Linked DNA regions of Schizosaccharomyces pombe. The main gene of each other region encodes a partner of the protein of the gene in region 4 in a complex. Each region holds a gene or a part of one and is shown on either strand. Other genes may lie near its edges. A codon is read from its position in the direction of its gene.

Region 1 (3,644 bases), on a different chromosome or scaffold from region 4:
AGGTGTAGTTAAAAGGCCAAAATTTTCGTACTTTGCTTTGCAGACCACAATACCGTCAATTACAGCTTGCGCAAGGATTTCTGAAGTAGACCTAAGTATTAGATGTTAGTCTTGGACATAAGATTTAAAAAAGCGGAGAAATTAAGTGATCTAATATCGACAATAAAAGTAAAACAAACCTTGAGTCATAGCCAACAAACACCCGAGCTTCAGAACCGGGAATAATCTTTGCCTTTTTCAAAATTGAAGTTAAACAAACCGTTAATTCGTCAGCGGAATCCGCATTTACTACTTGATCCAGGTATGCTTCCCATTTGCTAGAATCCAGGCTACTCAAAATGTTTACGATCTTTAACCCGTTTTCGGAAGAGGCGTTGTGCGAGGCAGTCACCATAACTAAGATTGTTAGTAAGTAAACTCAAAGAAATACAAAGGAACAAGATGGATATCAATATGTAAATGAATCATCTCGCAATAATAAAAGTATGTGTCTTACGTCCAACAGGTTGTCCATGCAATTTGGCTGACAAAAAGCTGGCGATTACGCCTGTGCGAAAAGCAACACTCGAAAGCAGCTCAGCGCTATAAATAAAATGTTAATAATTTCCATTTAAACTAAAAGTAAGTTTCTTTTTTTATCAACGTACTCAGCGCGATATCCTCCAGTACCATACTGCATGGGATAAGAATGCACTTTGGCAAACTTATCGGATTCTCGAACAATTGCCGTTACAAATTCATTTACAATCGAATCGCTGTCTTCAGCATCAGACATAGTGGGGAAAATATCGATACAGAAGTCTGACGATCCTTTGTAAAAAAAACTTGTTAAAGTATCGAAACTATGAATGGAAGAAGAACGAAGTCACTTAAGCCTAAGCTTCGAGAAAACAGGTTGACCTCAAAGCTCTCTTAATAAAAAAGTACACTTAAGAAGTTAAGAGATATGACTTTGTGTTCTCAAGATATATTCGAGTCCCGAATAAGCACTGGATTGCTACTAAGTTGATGCCAAACGCGTCAACTATCACCAAACTATGGCAATTTAAATATCGCGGAATAATGAACTGCGTAATACATATTCGTTATTAGAAGGAAATTTGGGAATAGTTTAACGTCTACGAAGTTAATAAAAGCTTCACATATTTCCTCTTTCTTTATTACATAAATATTTATCAATTTGGTTTTCATCGCTTGGGTTATGTTCGAAGTTGCTAAATAAACAACTTAGTTGGTTGACTCAATAGTTAACTCTGTAAATTAGCTACAAAATAGCAGAAAGACACCTCAACGTTTTTTACAATTATTATGAAAAGCTATGAAATTTAATGTGAATAAACTAGATGAAAAGAAACGACTAAATGAACCAACGAAAAGGTATTAAAAAATAGTATTTCGTATTAGATTTAATTGATTAACACAATGTGGTCAGTAATATACAGAGAATGTATGCATGTTTGCTTTAAACAATAGAACAAACGGATTGTAATAATTGAGAGGACAAGATCGAAAATGAACGACCTGAAAATCGTTCATCACTAGGGAATTTATTTCTTTCGGTCATATTGCTTTTAAAATAATTAATATTCCCGAGGCAAACATGATACATTAAACCTCTAGTTCATAAAGAGTTGTATAAGAAATGAGTAAACAAAACAATTTAAGTCAATTTCTTCCAGGGTATAGCTCATGAACCTTAAAAAACACAAACAATCAGTAGAAATATAGCAATGATCCCTTTAATTATAACACTCAGATATGTTTAGCAAGTTATGAGCACCGATAGTCAATCAAGAAAAGGACATCTCATACTACTCGTTTTTTATACAATATAATTAAGGCAATAGTAATATTGGAACTTCCCCATTATCATCTTATTCGTAACTGTTTAAGAAATAATTCCGTTTTTTGTTAACCTTCTCATCTTTTTTTCTGTTGTAGCTTGCTGTCCTACCAAATTTCGTTACACAATACCGGACCAACGTTGGAAACTACACAACACCCCATCTCACCCATTATCAGGTTATAAATCATCAATAATTGTCTTTTAAGATGTTTATGAATTCTATGCTTCGTGTCTCCAGACAAAGAGCAGCGGTCAGGAGTACTGTTTCTCTGTACCGTGGCTTTGTTTCTGCTTCAATCCGCCGTAATGAGCAAAACGGTAAGTCCTTTGAAAGCTTAGTAAAGTTTGTCATAGCAGCTTAATGGTTAAAGCTTGTTTAGTACTGGCTATAGGAGTAAAGCTTCCGTTGACTCTTGATCTCCGATGTACAGTTTTGCTATTAATTATATATCGGAAGTTAGGCTTGTGTGCCCATTCATTCTTTTCTATATTTTACAGACCTAAAAAGTAATCAAAAGAATGAAAATCGACGTTGCCTATAGCCCACTCTCTTAAAACGCTTTCTATTTCATCTATTAAGTCGCTTAGTAGATATGACTTGTTAATTTGTGCTGCCGATACATTTTAGGGCTTTTTAGCTTAATTTTTATCTCCTTCACTAACATTCTTTTAGTTGTAAAAGCCGCCGCTCAAGAATTAGCCAACGCTAAGGAACCTTCTGATTTGATCGGACCTGGTGGTCGTGACGGCGAGGTTCCAACTGATTTGGAGCAAGCCACTGGTTTGGAACGATATGAACTTTTATCAGAGCTTTCAGGGAGAGATGCATTTGATATGAAACCGTTGGATGCTTCTCGTAAAGGCACATTGACGGATCCTATAATGGTCACTTCTCTTGATCCTTACCGTCATATTGGCTGTACTGGTAGTCCTTCTGGTTCACATAATTTAATTTGGATGACTGTCTACAAAGACAAACTCCGCCGTTGTCCTGAATGCGGATCTGTATACAAATTAAAATTCATGGGAGATCCCAACGCTGAACACAGTCATTAGTATGCTTACCAATCTTCCATATCCCCTTGCTATTTTCATACTCTTTTATAACAATTTAGCTCTTTTATTTGAACTTTGAAAAATCAATGAAAACTGTATGCTGATCTATTTCTTATTTTGGGAACGATTCGATTATTCGTAAACGTATATCTTATAAATAATTCTATCTATTCAACCATATCTTAGTTGTTAATTCAAGCACCATTCTTTTTTTCTTGTAGTCATGCGGAAATATGATCTAATTATCGTTCCGAGTTTCATAAACGATAGTTATTTATTGATATACCACATCAGTGGTAAGTCAATAAACTTGTATTTTAAATTTTCCGATATTAAACTTTTAATAAAGCAACGTATTTTCAAGCCATTCTCTAACCATTTGAGGGTCTTTAGATGGAGCCATGTGCCCAACCGAGTTGGACAATGTAAAGGCTAAGTTACGTTCATCCAAAGTAAATCCATTAGTTGTCTCTAAACTTCCAGGAGATTGAGTGAATCCCTGCCATCCATTCCATGTTGTATTTTGCAATGCCAAAAGAGTTCCGGTCCAAAGAATTTGAAGATCCAATGCCCCAGCTAAGAAAGACACTTTGTATTTTTCTGTTAAGCGTGGAATTATTTCAACGAGAACTGATTCTACGTTGTTACTCACAATCTTTTTGTATAAGTCAAAATTGCATCCGTCTGCGAAGACACCCTCGCCGCTTGTCAACGCAGTTGAAGCTTTCGTAGCATGTAAAGA
Region 2 (2,809 bases), on a different chromosome or scaffold from region 4:
TGGTAAATTATATTGTAAGGTTTAAAGAGGACTCTTTATCAAACCTACTGTTTGTAGAAGTGTTAATTGAGAACGCACTACCAAAAGGCGACAAGGATTATTTTTATGCAACTTACAAATTAGTCAATTAAAGGCTGAGTATCAAATTTTAAGAGCGTCGAGATATTTTAAGATATTCAATAGATTGATAGTGAATCACAAACGCTGAGTTCGAATAGCTTTCACTTCATCAACGTAGACGCGATATTTTGGAGTTGAAGAAGTACCTTATAGAGATTAAATTGATGCTCTCGAACATCAGGTTGCGTTCTCCATAAAAGTATCAACAGGACTTTCCCTTACGTCCTCTTTTTTAACTACGGTATCATTGCTTTCAGATAATGCCATCTTTAGAAAAGCCTTTTTCAAAGCAATGCGGGCTTTGAGAATTTCGATGATAGATTTTTTTTCTTTCACTGTCATTTCCTCAGGTTCCATTTTTGAAACCTTTTCTTTTAACTGTCGAATGCCCTGGCGAAGTAATGTCAATTCCTTAGAAGCCGTTACGGTTTCCCGAGCCTCTTGAGATGCCAAAAATTCCAACAGTCGACTTTGTAGTATAGAAAAGTCTTGTTGCGAAAGTAATTCTGCACTAGTGTCCTTAATATGATGTGCTGGATCCATCGTGATAAAACTGTAGTACCTCAAGGTATCCTTTTCAAATATGTAGCCAGCTCTTAGCAGCTAAATGTTCAAAAATAAGGGAAACTTCAAGATCACTTTAGTAATTCACGGTTGGCATTAGCGAAAAATCAGCATACAAAGCCAACCAATGTCCCGATTTCCGTGTTTTAATTAGAACATAAAGCTCCCAAGCTTGAAAATTTTGAATATTCAAAAGGTACTAAGCCAATTTGATTTGATTTTTTTATTTTGTACTTCTCAGTGCTACCAACATAAATTCATGTTCTAAGTAGCTTCTAAAAATGCTGCAACGCACAAGACTACGTTGAGCTTTATAAGGTGACGGACAAGTTGATGCTCTCAACACATTTATAATGATTAAAATCACGTGGCAGAAAAAATTACCACTTTTCTAAAAGAACTAGATATTTTAACCAAAGAACGTACCTACTTCTGTAAGGTCGCACATTACTCTTTATTGTTTACCAAATTAAGCTAAGTACTGTTGTACGAATTAAGACATCGTTAACGCCGACTTCTTAAATTTCGCTATTTTTCCGTATTGTCAGCAATACCACACTACGCTATGATACACTACGTTGCGTATCACTATATGTCATATGTTGGAATACTAGCTAAGATCCGTTTATTGATAATCACGGGTAACTATCCGTCTATATACATAGATACCCATTGATAACAACTATTTAGAAATATTATAAATAGCGTTACAACTGAACCTCGTTCCTCAGTTCAGTTATGAGCTATATTAGTGATAGGTAACATTATAACCCAGTTAATACAATACCTATACTCAGTTGCTACTTATACAACCTGTGTATTGTAATATAATAGACCACAAGGAAAACTCACCGCAGTTCTACGTATCCTTAAATCAAATACCAAACTGCGTAGCTTACACGTATATAGAGTAAGGTATGCACACTAGTTTATTATGTAATTCCTTAAACGAAAGTATCCCGATGCAATGGGAAATGATTGATTTGCTAGCAGCAAACTTACCAACTCCCAACTCAATTCCCATGCTTCGTTACAGTCTTCAAGCTCGTTCAGCCCTTCGTGGTGTTCGTTTTTCTTCTTCTCATTCGGCCCCTAAACCTGGATCGTAAGTGGGAATCATCCTGTTTGTTTTCAACGGCAATTGCTAACAATATGCTATTTTTGCTCAATAGAACGATCCCTTTTTACATTAACAAGAAACCACTTCCTACTTTACTTTACTTTGGAACATTTGGTATGTTGGTGAACTAGATTTGAGTCCTATGCATCTGTAATTTGGTAAAAGCAGCTTTACCAGGAATGGCATCTCACTTGCAAAAAAAATTACTTCTACAGTAAAAAAAATGCATAGAAAGCCAACTTATTAGAGGAACATTTCCTTTCCTTTTCTTTATGAAGATTTATCTAACCTAGAATTCAGGTGTGATCTTTTCCATCCCATTCATTGTGGTGAAATACGTGCGTTAGCATACTAATGTGTCTGTACTTTACTAACCTATTGTTTCTGTTTAGCATAACCGTAATTTGTAAGAAACTTCAATCATTGCAAGTTGCGTTAAATAATCAAATTTCCATTTCCTTACATTTTCTTGACCGTCAAATCGTCTTCTATGTAAAAGTAATAAAGCTTAAAACTTCAAAGTGCTCAGCATCTTCGAAATAAATTTTCTTTTTAGAAGTAAGAATTCTTTAATCTATAAACAGATAACAAAAAAATCGATGTGAGGTTGCTGTATTTTGTTGAAATATATAGTACTATCTCGAAACAAAAACCCATATCCCGTGAAACAGTGTGCCGTTGATAAATTATGTAGTAACTGTTTGCAGTGCACAAAAACTTGATACTACGCACAACACTCGAAATCATTAATGACTTCCTATAAATTTAGGGTTGCCAGATGCATCGATCAAAGATTCGTCAATCGTCAAAACTCGAGGCCCATTACCCACTCGAGTTAAGATAACTCGGCTTATACCAGATGATACAATATTGGCTGCAGCAGAATCAACAGTAACGGGGGAAGAGCCATACTGCTTGCTCCATCCTTCAGCATTTTTAGTAACAGCATAAAGTGTATTTAATACAATCTCGGAGTTTTCTTCCAAGAAGTAAATAACAGCATTT
Region 3 (3,371 bases), on a different chromosome or scaffold from region 4:
CTATTGCATTTGCATATAGGGACACAATATTCCTCATTATTCCTTTTTTTCACGCAGTGTAGACAACGCGGTCTGGAAAAGACATACATCCATTGGAATTGAGTTGTATTTTTGGGATAGGCGGTTGAGTGAGAATGAAATTGAGAAATTAGATGCTTTAATAACCAGTGCTTTTAAATTGCTTCTTGCTTTTTGATCAACACCGTGATTTCACTCCTGCGAGGTACATGTTACCTAGCTTTGATCTAATTTGAAAAGTTGGACTCATGGATGGTAAAGAGAGAAATTTCGTTTTATCCATACTTAATCATAGTATGTCTCTCACGCATACTCTCACATAGGTAGTTAATTGGGATTCTCATTTGTTTAAAATTTAGCTGGTTTGCAAAGGAAAACAGGTTGACTCCTGTCTTTTTTGGGTCTTTGGGATTTCTTTTGTTTTTGCTTTTTCGTCTCTGGTTTTGGGTATTTTAAAAAAATCACAATGATTTTAGAAGACACGGATCTACCTTTAAGTCACGAACAGCCTTCTTACTCTCAAATTAAAGATGTTTTGGACAAAATTCCTACTGGGGAGCACTTGTGGGACCTTCCTAAGTATGAGGAGAAAATAATCCTCAATTGGCTTATCAAGCTCTTAGCTACAAATTTGGAATGGATCACAGTTGAAGAGGAACGAGACTATTTGGTTAGCACGATTTGTGAACGAATTGCAGAGCGTAGTGGTAGACTTGCAGCTCCTACTAGGAAGAGGGAATTTTCCCTTTCAAATGGTGTTTCTGTAGTTCTTCGAGAGCCCACTATGACCTATAATACTTTAGGATTTAAAACATGGGGGTCTGCTCCCTTGCTTTCAGCAAATCTTCCCAAATGGGAAGATTTGAGTAATTCCATTAACGCGCTAGAATTAGGGGCTGGGACTGGGCTTGTTGGCATTAGTGCAGCCATTCAATTAGGATGGCAAGTTGTATGTACAGATCTACCAGATATAGTAGAAAATATGCAGTATAACGTTGATTACAATTCTGAACTTATCCAGCAATATGCGGGTTCAGTAAGCTGTCATGTATTAGATTGGATGAATCCCCCAGATGATGATAACCGACCATCATGGCTTATTAAACCATTTCAACGGATTATAGCAAGTGATTGTATCTATGAAACTCATTTCGGCGAGTTAGCCATTGCACTGTTTCGTAAATATTTAGCTAAGGACGGGATTGTTATCACAGAGTATCCACTTCGCGAAACACATTTGGAAGAAATAGGTGTGTTTGAAAAGGGAATGGACGCCGCCGGATTTGAAAGACAAATGGGAGAAGAAATTGGTGAAGAAGACTTTGGCTCTCTATACCCAGTAACTTGTCGTTGGAGTAGATGGAAATACCATGGATAACTTAAAATGTATCAATCTATAGGTCAAACCATGTTGCAAACTAGAAAAAGCGAGCCAAAATAATTGGGTTTTATTTTTTCCTTGTTTGAATAATTTTAGATTTTAATAGCAAAGCAATAGATTCTTTTGTATTATTTACAGTATCAAAGGGAATCACTTTTGGTTTTAAAGCTGGCTTTTTGAGCCCGCTTTTTTCTGTTTAGAGGAACGAAATTGCGTAGGTTGGTTTAGATCAACAGGACATCGATACTGAATTACGGTTTAGTAGAAAATCTATTTGAGAAAGTTACCGATTGTTTTCTTGTAAATACTTTTTTATCCTTCCGCGTTCATTCAAAGCAACACATTAGTATCGTTTCGTCTCTATGAGCTTTCATAGTTATTTTCTACAAATTCAAACGGAGGACTAGAAATTAGAAAGTAGAATTAACCATAAACATTTCACTTACCCTTCGTACTTTCGATCTTTAATCAGCATGCGAAGCTAAACCCTACCCTAATTTCTCCGACAGTGTGCCAATGGGACTCCCGAGGATTGGCGTTGGCCTTCTTCCTTACACACCCAAATTCCCCCTCTCTCTATAATTCGATCTTTTTAGCATTAAATTATTGAATTAAGCTAATAATTATGTATCTTTCAAAAATTATCTGCAAAAAAGTGCCAATGAAGCTTCTCTGCACTCGCAATGCTGCTACTGTGAGTGCTGCTGCTACCAACGCTTTGCAGAAAGAGCAGCCTTCCGGAGAGGCCATGATCGCTCGTCCTCGTTTGGTTGATTTGGACAAGCGTTGGGGTATTATGTCTCAGGAGGAGAAAGACGGTCTTATCACAGATTTGTATGCTCGTCAGAAACAACCCTGGACGACACTCTCCATTGAGGAAAAGAAAGCCGCATATTGGATTGCTTTTGGTGAACACGGTCCTCGTGCTTTCAGCCACATTAGTCAAAAGACAGTTTTTTGGGGAACTGTCGCTGGTTTAACGATCGGTGTCGTATTGTTTGGTCTCATCCGCACTCAAGCTGCTCCTTCTCCTCGTACCATGACTCGTGAATGGCAAGAGAAGTCCAATGAGTACATGAAGGAGAACAAGATCAACCCTATTAGTGGTGAAGCTAGCGAAGGGTTTAAGGGACGTGGTCAAATTTCCGGTGGTATTTTCTCCCCCTCCGAAAAGGACAAGAAATAAGAAATTCCCACATTTTGAGTTCAATAAAGTTTCAGCATGATCTGGGTTTCTTTTTGCTTAGTCAAATGAAAATTTATTTAGTTGTTTTATTTCTTGAGCCTAACTCGACTTTCATGGTAAGATGCTACTTCGTCGGACCCACCATTATCAGGTACTGGAAGGTTTGACTTTGCTACATTCGCTTCTTTTATTTCTAAAAACGAGTTTTAATTTATCCCCCTTTCTAATGAAAATTTCAGCTTATCGTGAATAAGTCCGGAATATAGTAAATCGTAAATTCATTGCTTTGCTGAATGTAGTTGATTAACAATTGGGGTAGTGAACGCTAATCGAAGTTCGAATGCTTATTGTAACGTTGTAAGCTTCATGCTAATGATCTCTGAATACATCTATGTACACGGTTGGCGTATCAATTTATTTAGACAAGTTGTCATTGGATGAAGTTTCACAATCATTATTTAGTTTTAATCTACAAAATCACTTTCCCAAAAACCATTTGGAATAGGTTTGGGGATGTTTAATTTTCGATGCCGGCCTACTTTTTGCACCAAAGGTTGATGCTTACAATTGGGTAAAGAGCCACCACCCAAGCGGTTTTCGTCATTCCAAGTAGGCGCAACGCTGCTTTCTTTGACTGGACCATGTAACTCATAGAACTAAAACACCAATTAGTAGGGAAAAAAGCCAAAAATACTCTTACCTTTTGGCAATCCGGACATTCGTAAGCAGGAAGTGCTTTACGTTTATTACCTCGAATAACATCATCGTTTAAAAATTCAGGCTCAA
Region 4 (6,162 bases):
ATATAATGAGTTTGATGTTAGCTCGGTTATAACGCTATCTAGAGATTTTAACACATGCAAATCGAACGAATCAACAAAAACAATACATCCTTTAGGGGATGTTTGTGTTTTTTTGTGACGTGGTGAACAGGTGAGTAAAAGGGAAGAACGGACCTTAAATTTCGGCTAAATTCCGAATAAACACACTCTTTTGGAGTGTTGTGAAAGAAGTGAAAACTTTGATTTAAGACTGGCTTCTTACGATTAAAGTAGTTGGAGAGGTAAAAGCTTAACAAGCTCAAATCGTAATCATGACACTAAGTGGTGCTCTGATCACATTGGCTCTGAGACAACAGCCAAGATGAACATTTAGTTCATCCAGCAGTGGAGAATATTAGTCAATGATCGAAAGATTGAACTAGTCATCTAGAAGAGTGAAACTTTTAGTTATAGCTCCTTAAATTAAGAAAATTTGATTCTTAATTTTATGTAATTCTTGCCAATTTCCGTGCCAGCAGCAGCGGTTATACGGATAGAATAAGCGTTTAACATAATAAAAAGGCCTAAAAAGTATGTAGATGGAAAAAAACAAATCTTTTTCTAGAGTAATAAAGATGTTTGTAGTATTGTCAAATAAGGGATCAAATCCGACAATCTTGATGAGACTGCTTAAGTAAAAACTACTTACAATTAATTACTGACATTGAGATACGAAGGCTTAGATCGCGAAAGAGATTAGATACCTCTGTAGTCTAAGCTGTAAACGATTATTGCTCTCCCAATCTTTTTGATTGGGTTTAGTGAAGACGGTAAGCAATATGCCTGGGGAGTACTTTCGCAAGATTGAAACCCAAAACATTAGACGGTCTTGGAAATCCGCAGTGAATCATGTTATTTAATTAGATAATCCGCTAAAAATCTTACCTTTCCTTAAAACAATTAGTTTTAATTGTTGGGTATTGCATGGCTGTCTTTAGTTAATGTCGTAAGATGAGGTTAATTCCCATTAATTAACGAAAGCCTTCAAAGAATTTGTTTTTCTTTGTGTTAGTGATAAGCTAACTTTTTAGAGGGTTAAGACAAGTCAATATGATCCTTATGGAAAGGGCTATAGACGTGATATAAAATCTAATCCAATAATTTTTAATATCGAAAGATTGAAGTATTATTATAATGGTTAGGAGATTTATTCAGATTTAAATCTGTAATTTGATTTAATGAAGGAGGAATTGCGAGTAATCACTAATCATTACGTAGTGGTGAAATTTATCTCTGAGATGTACTAACTACTCGTCAAGCGCTGAAAGTATTAATCTCTTGAAGAAGACATTCATTTGTTTTCCAAAGGTGTTGTGCAATTAGTGTTAAGTCGAAATAAGGTAACCGTAGTGGAAGTTGCGGTTGAATAATTAATTCAGGTTAACCCCCCCCCAAAAAATAAAATACATCCATATCAAAAAGATGTTAATTGTTGGTATAGTTTAATTGGTTAAAATAATCTCCTCATGTGAGATTGATCTATAGGTTCGAGCCCTTTTACCAACTTTTCCTTAACCACATCTGTTTAAGTCAAAAAATCTTAAATGGTAGGAAACCTTTAAACAAAGTTTAAAAAAGTTATTAAATAATCTTAATGATCTTTTCATCTACCCTAAAATATTGAATCCTTTTAAAATAGTTTAATAAATTAGCTTTTGGATGAAAACTAAAAATTTTTTTTTAACTTAAACTTATTTAGAAATTAATAATTTAGTCTTGAGTTTAATGAACTCTTGGTGGACTTATGTTAATAGATGGATATTCTCAACTAATGCTAAGGATATTGCCATACTATATTTATTATTCGGATTGGTATCTGGGATAATTGGATCTGTATTCTCTTTTATAATTAGAATGGAACTATCAGCTCCAGGATCTCAATTCCTTTCTGGAAATGGTCAATTATACAATGTTGCAATCTCAGCACATGGTATACTTATGATTTTTTTCTTCATTATTCCTGCTTTATTTGGTGCATTTGGTAATTATTTAGTACCTCTTATGATAGGTGCTCCAGATGTTGCTTACCCTAGAGTAAATAATTTCACATTCTGGTTACTACCTCCTGCTCTAATGCTATTATTAATTTCTGCATTAACAGAAGAAGGACCTGGTGGTGGTTGGACGGTTTTAAAGCCGCAGACAAAATTGTCTGAAAACTCTTCTCGATGCGAAAAAGTCCTCTACTCGGAAGTAATTACTCAGTTAATTTATTTTTTAACTAGTAAAAAGATTACTAACTTGGGGAAAATTCGCCTGGTTAAATCCATCAGAGACTCGTTTCTATCACAATTAGAAAATATTTTATGTTTCTTTTTGGTTTATAGAACAACATACTCTTTCGGAGTGTGTTTAATGAAGAGGTTCTTATTTAATAAATTTTTTAATAGACATCCTTTTACAAGGGTAAAAAGCTGTTTTTCATCATCTTCACCATCAAAATTCTCTTTTACTCAATGGTTAGTAGGATTTACTGATGGTGATGGTTGTTTTAGTATTTCAAAACAAAAAATAAAAAATGGCAAAAATAAATGGTCTCTTACTTTTAAATTAACACAAAATCTTTATAATTATAGAATTTTATATTTTATTAAGAGAAATTTAGGTATTGGTTCACTTTATAAAGAATCTTCAACTAATACAGTAATATATAGATTAAGAAGAAGAGAGCATCTTAAAAAGATTATAGATATTTTTGATCAATTCCCTCTTTTAACTAAAAAATATTGGGATTATTATTTGTTTAAAAAAGCATTCTTAATTTTAGAGGACGCTAATCTAAATTCTTTTGAAAAAAATAGTAAACTAGAAGAGATCAGAATAGAGAAAAAGTCTTTAAAACAATATTCTCCAGTTAATTTAGAAAAATATTTAACAAAGTCTTGGTTAATTGGATTTATTGAAGCAGAAGGGAGCTTTTATTTACTACAAAAAAGCCCTGTAAGAATAATTCATGGGTTTGAGATTACTCAAAATTATGAACAACCCCTACTTGCTCAGATTTCAGAGTTCCTATTTAATTCTCAAATCTCACCAAAAATAAAATCAAAAAAAAATTCCTTAATTACAAATTATTCCTTATCAACTAGTTCAAAAGAAAGAATGTTATTTCTTTCATCTTATTTTGAAAATTGTTTTAAAGGAGTAAAATCATTAGAATTTAAAATTTGGTCTAGATCTTTACGTAAAAATTATAATTTTGAACAGCTTTTAAGAGCTAGAGATTTAATTAGAAAATTAAAAAATAAATATTCCCGAGGATCACAACATCCAAAGGATAAATAAAATAAGTTCAAGGTATAGTCCGATCAAGATTGAGAAATCTTGTTAACTAAAATGATATCCACCACTATCAAGTATCACTTCTCATAGTGGTCCAGCTATTGATCTAGCTATTTTAAGTTTACAATTAACTGGTATTTCATCAACATTAGGATCAGTAAATTTAATAGCGACAATGATTAATATGAGAGCTCCAGGATTAAGTTTATATCAAATGCCATTATTTGCATGGGCTATAATGATTACATCAATTCTATTACTGCTTACTTTACCAGTTTTAGCAGGTGGATTATTTATGTTATTCTCAGATAGAAATTTAAATACTTCATTCTATGCTCCTGAAGGTGGTGGTGACCCTGTACTTTACCAACATTTATTCTGGTTCTTTGGTCATCCAGAGGTCAATTTAATAGGCCTCTTAACGTTGCTATATGCTGGAACTACTTGAAAAATACTAGATAAGTGTTTTTGTTTTAAATACTCCAAGAAAAACACCAGATTAGTGTTTATTTTTATAGTAAAAATGTTAAAACAATTAAGTATATCAGCAGGTAACCTTTTGAATAAGGGAACCTCAGAGACTTTACGCAACGAAATCACAACAAAAAAAGTTTCTATTCATCTCCCTAAACACTTAAAACCAGCTAATGATTCTCAATTTGGTCACTATTTAGCAGGTTTAATTGATGGTGATGGTCATTTTAGTAGTAAACAACAATTAATTATTGCTTTTCACTCTTTAGATATACAATTAGCTTATTATATTAAAAAACAAATAGGTTATGGTATTGTACGTAAAATTAAAGATAAAAATGCTATTCTTTTTATAATAGCTAACTCTAAAGGAATTGAAAGAGTAATAACTTTAATTAATAATAAATTTAGAACTACTAGTAAATATAATCAGATTATTAATAATATATTTGCTCATCCTAGATTTAAAGAATTTAGTAAAACTATTACTTTAGGTTTAAATTCAAATAATAATTTAAATAATCATTGGCTAGCTGGATTCTCAGATGCTGATGCTAGTTTTCAGATTAAAATTTTAAATAGGGACAAAAAAATAGAAGTTCGATTGAACTATCAAATAGATCAAAAAAAAGAGTATCTTTTGAGTTTAATTAAAGATAATTTAGGTGGTAATATAGGCTATCGAAAAAGTCAAGATACTTATTATTATGGTTCTACTAGTTTTGGTTCAGCTAAAAAAGTTATTAATTATTTTGATAATTATCATTTGCTATCTTCTAAATATATTAGCTATTTAAAATGAAGAAAAGCTTATCTTATTATTCAAGAAAATAAACATTTAACAGAATCAGGACTTTCTCAAATAAAAAAACCTCATCCCTATCGGAAGAATATTAATTAGATTTGTTGAGATTTAAAATAAAGTCCTAACAAGGGTATAAAGCTTTTGAGTGTTAAAAAGAATAAATCACCTTTTGGGTGATTTTTTTTCATTAACCAAAATTTATTGTTATATTTTAATTATGCCAGCTTTCGGTGTTGTTAGTCACATTATTCCTAGTTTAGCTCATAAACCTATTTTCGGTAAAGAAGGTATGCTTTGGGCTATGTTAAGTATTGCTTTATTAGGATTAATGGTATGGTCTCATCACTTATTCACAGTTGGTTTAGATGTTGATACTAGAGCTTATTTCAGTGCTGCAACTATGGTTATTGCAATTCCAACAGGTATTAAAATCTTCAGTTGGTTAGCTACTTTAACAGGTGGTGCAATACAATGGTCAAGAGTACCTATGTTATATGCTATTGGTTTCTTAATCTTATTCACAATTGGTGGATTAACAGGTGTTATATTAAGTAATTCAGTATTAGATATCGCTTTCCATGATACTTATTTCGTTGTAGCTCACTTCCATTACGTTCTGTCAATGGGTGCATTATTTGGTCTTTGTGGTGCATACTACTATTGGAGTCCAAAAATGTTTGGATTAATGTACAATGAAACTCTAGCTTCAATCCAATTCTGGATTTTATTCATAGGTGTTAATATTGTATTCGGTCCTCAACATTTCTTAGGATTAAATGGTATGCCTAGAAGAATACCAGATTATCCAGATGCATTTGTGGGATGGAATTTTGTATCAAGTATTGGTTCAGTAATTTCTATTCTTTCATTATTCCTATTTATGTATGTTATGTATGATCAATTTACATCAAATAGAGTGGTTAAAACAAATCCTTATTTAATCCCTAGCTATTTTGATGATAATGTAATCTTCGTAAATGAAAAATTAGGGGTAGCTCAATCAATAGAATGGTTACTACATTCACCAGTACACGAACACGCATTTAATACATTACCTACAAAAAGTATTTAATTTAAAATCTTAACCCCCCTTTTATTTTATAAACTTTATTCCAATTTAAAAATTGGAGAGGGAGATTGAAGGATAATTTAGCTATCCTATTCAAAATTGTATCTTTATAATTTTTTTATTCCTTATATGTGAGAGAACACTATTGAGATAAACTAATTTAGCTTAAACATGAATCTTTCTACTAAATTTCAAGGACATCCTTATCATATTGTAAGTGCGTCACCTTGGCCATTTTTCTTATCTGTAGTATTATTCTTTAACTGTTTAGCAGCTACATTATATTTACATGGATACAAACATTCATCAGTATTCTTTGGAATCAGTTTCTTAGGTTTATTAGCAACTATGTATTTATGGTTTAGAGATATGTCAACTGAAGCTAATATTCATGGTGCACATACAAAAGCAGTAACAAAAGGATTAAAAATAGGATTTATGTTATTCCTAATTTCTGAAACTTTCTTATTTGCTTCTATTTTCTGGGCTTTCTTCCATAGTTCATTATCACCTA

Evidence for each region.
Region 1: the proteins of cox1 (region 4) and cox4 are in contact, whole or in part, in a cryo-EM structure (PDB 8Q1B), measured with the Schizosaccharomyces pombe proteins. Residues at the interface, in YP_011104928.1 of Schizosaccharomyces pombe: Pro181 (codon at 3,494), Gly182 (codon at 3,497), Pro272 (codon at 4,848), Glu509 (codon at 5,559), Lys510 (codon at 5,562), Leu511 (codon at 5,565), Gly512 (codon at 5,568), Val513 (codon at 5,571), Ala514 (codon at 5,574), Gln515 (codon at 5,577), Ser516 (codon at 5,580), Ile517 (codon at 5,583), Leu520 (codon at 5,592), Leu521 (codon at 5,595), Phe530 (codon at 5,622), Asn531 (codon at 5,625), Thr532 (codon at 5,628), Leu533 (codon at 5,631), Pro534 (codon at 5,634), Thr535 (codon at 5,637), Lys536 (codon at 5,640), Ser537 (codon at 5,643), Ile538 (codon at 5,646); in NP_593042.1 of Schizosaccharomyces pombe: Asp91 (codon at 2,678), Met92 (codon at 2,681), Lys93 (codon at 2,684), Pro94 (codon at 2,687), Leu95 (codon at 2,690), Ala97 (codon at 2,696), Leu112 (codon at 2,741), Asp113 (codon at 2,744), Arg116 (codon at 2,753), His117 (codon at 2,756), Ile118 (codon at 2,759), Gly119 (codon at 2,762), Thr121 (codon at 2,768), Asn129 (codon at 2,792), Leu130 (codon at 2,795), Ile131 (codon at 2,798), Trp132 (codon at 2,801), Met133 (codon at 2,804), Thr134 (codon at 2,807), Tyr136 (codon at 2,813), Leu140 (codon at 2,825), Arg141 (codon at 2,828), Pro144 (codon at 2,837).
Region 2: the proteins of cox1 (region 4) and cox8 are in contact, whole or in part, in a cryo-EM structure (PDB 8Q1B), measured with the Schizosaccharomyces pombe proteins. Residues at the interface, in YP_011104928.1 of Schizosaccharomyces pombe: Tyr7 (codon at 1,762), Arg10 (codon at 1,771), Trp11 (codon at 1,774), Asp19 (codon at 1,798), Ile22 (codon at 1,807), Val30 (codon at 1,831), Ile33 (codon at 1,840), Ile34 (codon at 1,843), Val37 (codon at 1,852), Phe38 (codon at 1,855), Leu54 (codon at 1,903), Ser55 (codon at 1,906), Asn57 (codon at 1,912), Leu60 (codon at 1,921), Val63 (codon at 1,930), Ala123 (codon at 2,110), Leu124 (codon at 2,113), Thr125 (codon at 2,116), Glu126 (codon at 2,119), Glu127 (codon at 2,122), Phe408 (codon at 5,256), Gly409 (codon at 5,259), Leu410 (codon at 5,262), Ile469 (codon at 5,439), Phe473 (codon at 5,451), Met476 (codon at 5,460), Met479 (codon at 5,469), Tyr480 (codon at 5,472), Phe483 (codon at 5,481), Thr484 (codon at 5,484); in NP_594028.1 of Schizosaccharomyces pombe: Lys25 (codon at 1,779), Pro26 (codon at 1,782), Ser28 (codon at 1,788), Thr29 (codon at 1,858), Ile30 (codon at 1,861), Phe32 (codon at 1,867), Asn35 (codon at 1,876), Lys36 (codon at 1,879), Lys37 (codon at 1,882), Thr41 (codon at 1,894), Tyr44 (codon at 1,903), Phe48 (codon at 1,915), Ile51 (codon at 2,110), Phe52 (codon at 2,113), Ile54 (codon at 2,119), Pro55 (codon at 2,122), Phe56 (codon at 2,125), Val58 (codon at 2,131), Val59 (codon at 2,134), Tyr61 (codon at 2,140), His62 (codon at 2,197), Asn63 (codon at 2,200), Leu66 (codon at 2,209).
Region 3: the proteins of cox1 (region 4) and cox5 are in contact, whole or in part, in a cryo-EM structure (PDB 8Q1B), measured with the Schizosaccharomyces pombe proteins. Residues at the interface, in YP_011104928.1 of Schizosaccharomyces pombe: Met44 (codon at 1,873), Ser47 (codon at 1,882), Ala48 (codon at 1,885), Pro49 (codon at 1,888), Ser51 (codon at 1,894), Gln52 (codon at 1,897), Phe53 (codon at 1,900), Trp340 (codon at 5,052), Ser341 (codon at 5,055), Arg342 (codon at 5,058), Glu414 (codon at 5,274), Thr415 (codon at 5,277), Ser418 (codon at 5,286), Ile419 (codon at 5,289), Trp422 (codon at 5,298), Ile423 (codon at 5,301), Ile426 (codon at 5,310), Ala453 (codon at 5,391), Val455 (codon at 5,397), Gly456 (codon at 5,400), Phe459 (codon at 5,409), Ser462 (codon at 5,418), Ile463 (codon at 5,421), Val466 (codon at 5,430), Ile467 (codon at 5,433), Leu470 (codon at 5,442), Ile496 (codon at 5,520), Pro497 (codon at 5,523), Ser498 (codon at 5,526), Tyr499 (codon at 5,529); in NP_588158.2 of Schizosaccharomyces pombe: Tyr71 (codon at 2,235), Ile92 (codon at 2,298), Ala93 (codon at 2,301), Phe94 (codon at 2,304), Gly95 (codon at 2,307), His97 (codon at 2,313), Pro99 (codon at 2,319), Arg100 (codon at 2,322), Phe102 (codon at 2,328), Ser103 (codon at 2,331), Ile105 (codon at 2,337), Gln107 (codon at 2,343), Thr109 (codon at 2,349), Val110 (codon at 2,352), Gly113 (codon at 2,361), Thr114 (codon at 2,364), Gly117 (codon at 2,373), Leu118 (codon at 2,376), Ile120 (codon at 2,382), Gly121 (codon at 2,385), Leu124 (codon at 2,394), Phe125 (codon at 2,397), Ile128 (codon at 2,406), Arg129 (codon at 2,409), Gln131 (codon at 2,415), Ala132 (codon at 2,418), Ala133 (codon at 2,421), Pro136 (codon at 2,430), Thr138 (codon at 2,436), Met139 (codon at 2,439).

The regions. Positions count from the first base shown.
Region 1 is NC_003424.3:709,249-712,892, forward strand, and holds cox4 (cytochrome c oxidase subunit IV), read left to right. Parts: upstream 1-1,986; 5' UTR 1,987-2,052; coding exon 2,053-2,164; exon of another isoform or gene 2,165-2,470; intron 2,471-2,519; coding exon 2,520-2,902; 3' UTR 2,903-3,106; downstream 3,107-3,644. Other genes in the region: SPOM_SPAC1296.01C (phosphoacetylglucosamine mutase), read right to left, coding at 1-91, 180-396, 497-582, 648-775; serine carboxypeptidase Sxa2, read right to left, coding at 3,243-3,644. UniProt on the Schizosaccharomyces pombe protein: Component of the cytochrome c oxidase, the last enzyme in the mitochondrial electron transport chain which drives oxidative phosphorylation.
Region 2 is NC_003424.3:3,042,205-3,045,013, reverse strand, and holds cox8 (cytochrome c oxidase subunit VIII), read left to right. Parts: upstream 1-1,706; coding exon 1,707-1,789; exon of another isoform or gene 1,790-1,856; coding exon 1,857-1,918; exon of another isoform or gene 1,919-2,104; coding exon 2,105-2,142; exon of another isoform or gene 2,143-2,196; coding exon 2,197-2,214; 3' UTR 2,215-2,265; downstream 2,266-2,809. Other genes in the region: protein Med9, read right to left, coding at 298-663; mvd1 (diphosphomevalonate decarboxylase), read right to left, coding at 2,551-2,809. UniProt on the Schizosaccharomyces pombe protein: Component of the cytochrome c oxidase, the last enzyme in the mitochondrial electron transport chain which drives oxidative phosphorylation.
Region 3 is NC_003421.2:1,355,842-1,359,212, forward strand, and holds cox5 (cytochrome c oxidase subunit V), read left to right. Parts: upstream 1-1,952; 5' UTR 1,953-2,024; coding exon 2,025-2,585; 3' UTR 2,586-2,871; downstream 2,872-3,371. Other genes in the region: efm2 (methyltransferase Rrg1), read left to right, coding at 485-1,396; ctp1 (CtIP family endonuclease), read right to left, coding at 3,050-3,241, 3,286-3,371. UniProt on the Schizosaccharomyces pombe protein: Component of the cytochrome c oxidase, the last enzyme in the mitochondrial electron transport chain which drives oxidative phosphorylation.
Region 4 is NC_088682.1:3,142-9,303, forward strand, and holds cox1 (cytochrome oxidase subunit 1), read left to right. Parts: upstream 1-1,743; coding exon 1,744-2,147; intron 2,148-2,148; coding exon of another isoform or gene 2,149-3,303; intron 3,304-3,357; coding exon 3,358-3,702; intron 3,703-3,703; coding exon of another isoform or gene 3,704-4,675; intron 4,676-4,783; coding exon 4,784-5,651; downstream 5,652-6,162. Other genes in the region: cox3 (cytochrome oxidase subunit 3), read left to right, coding at 5,820-6,162.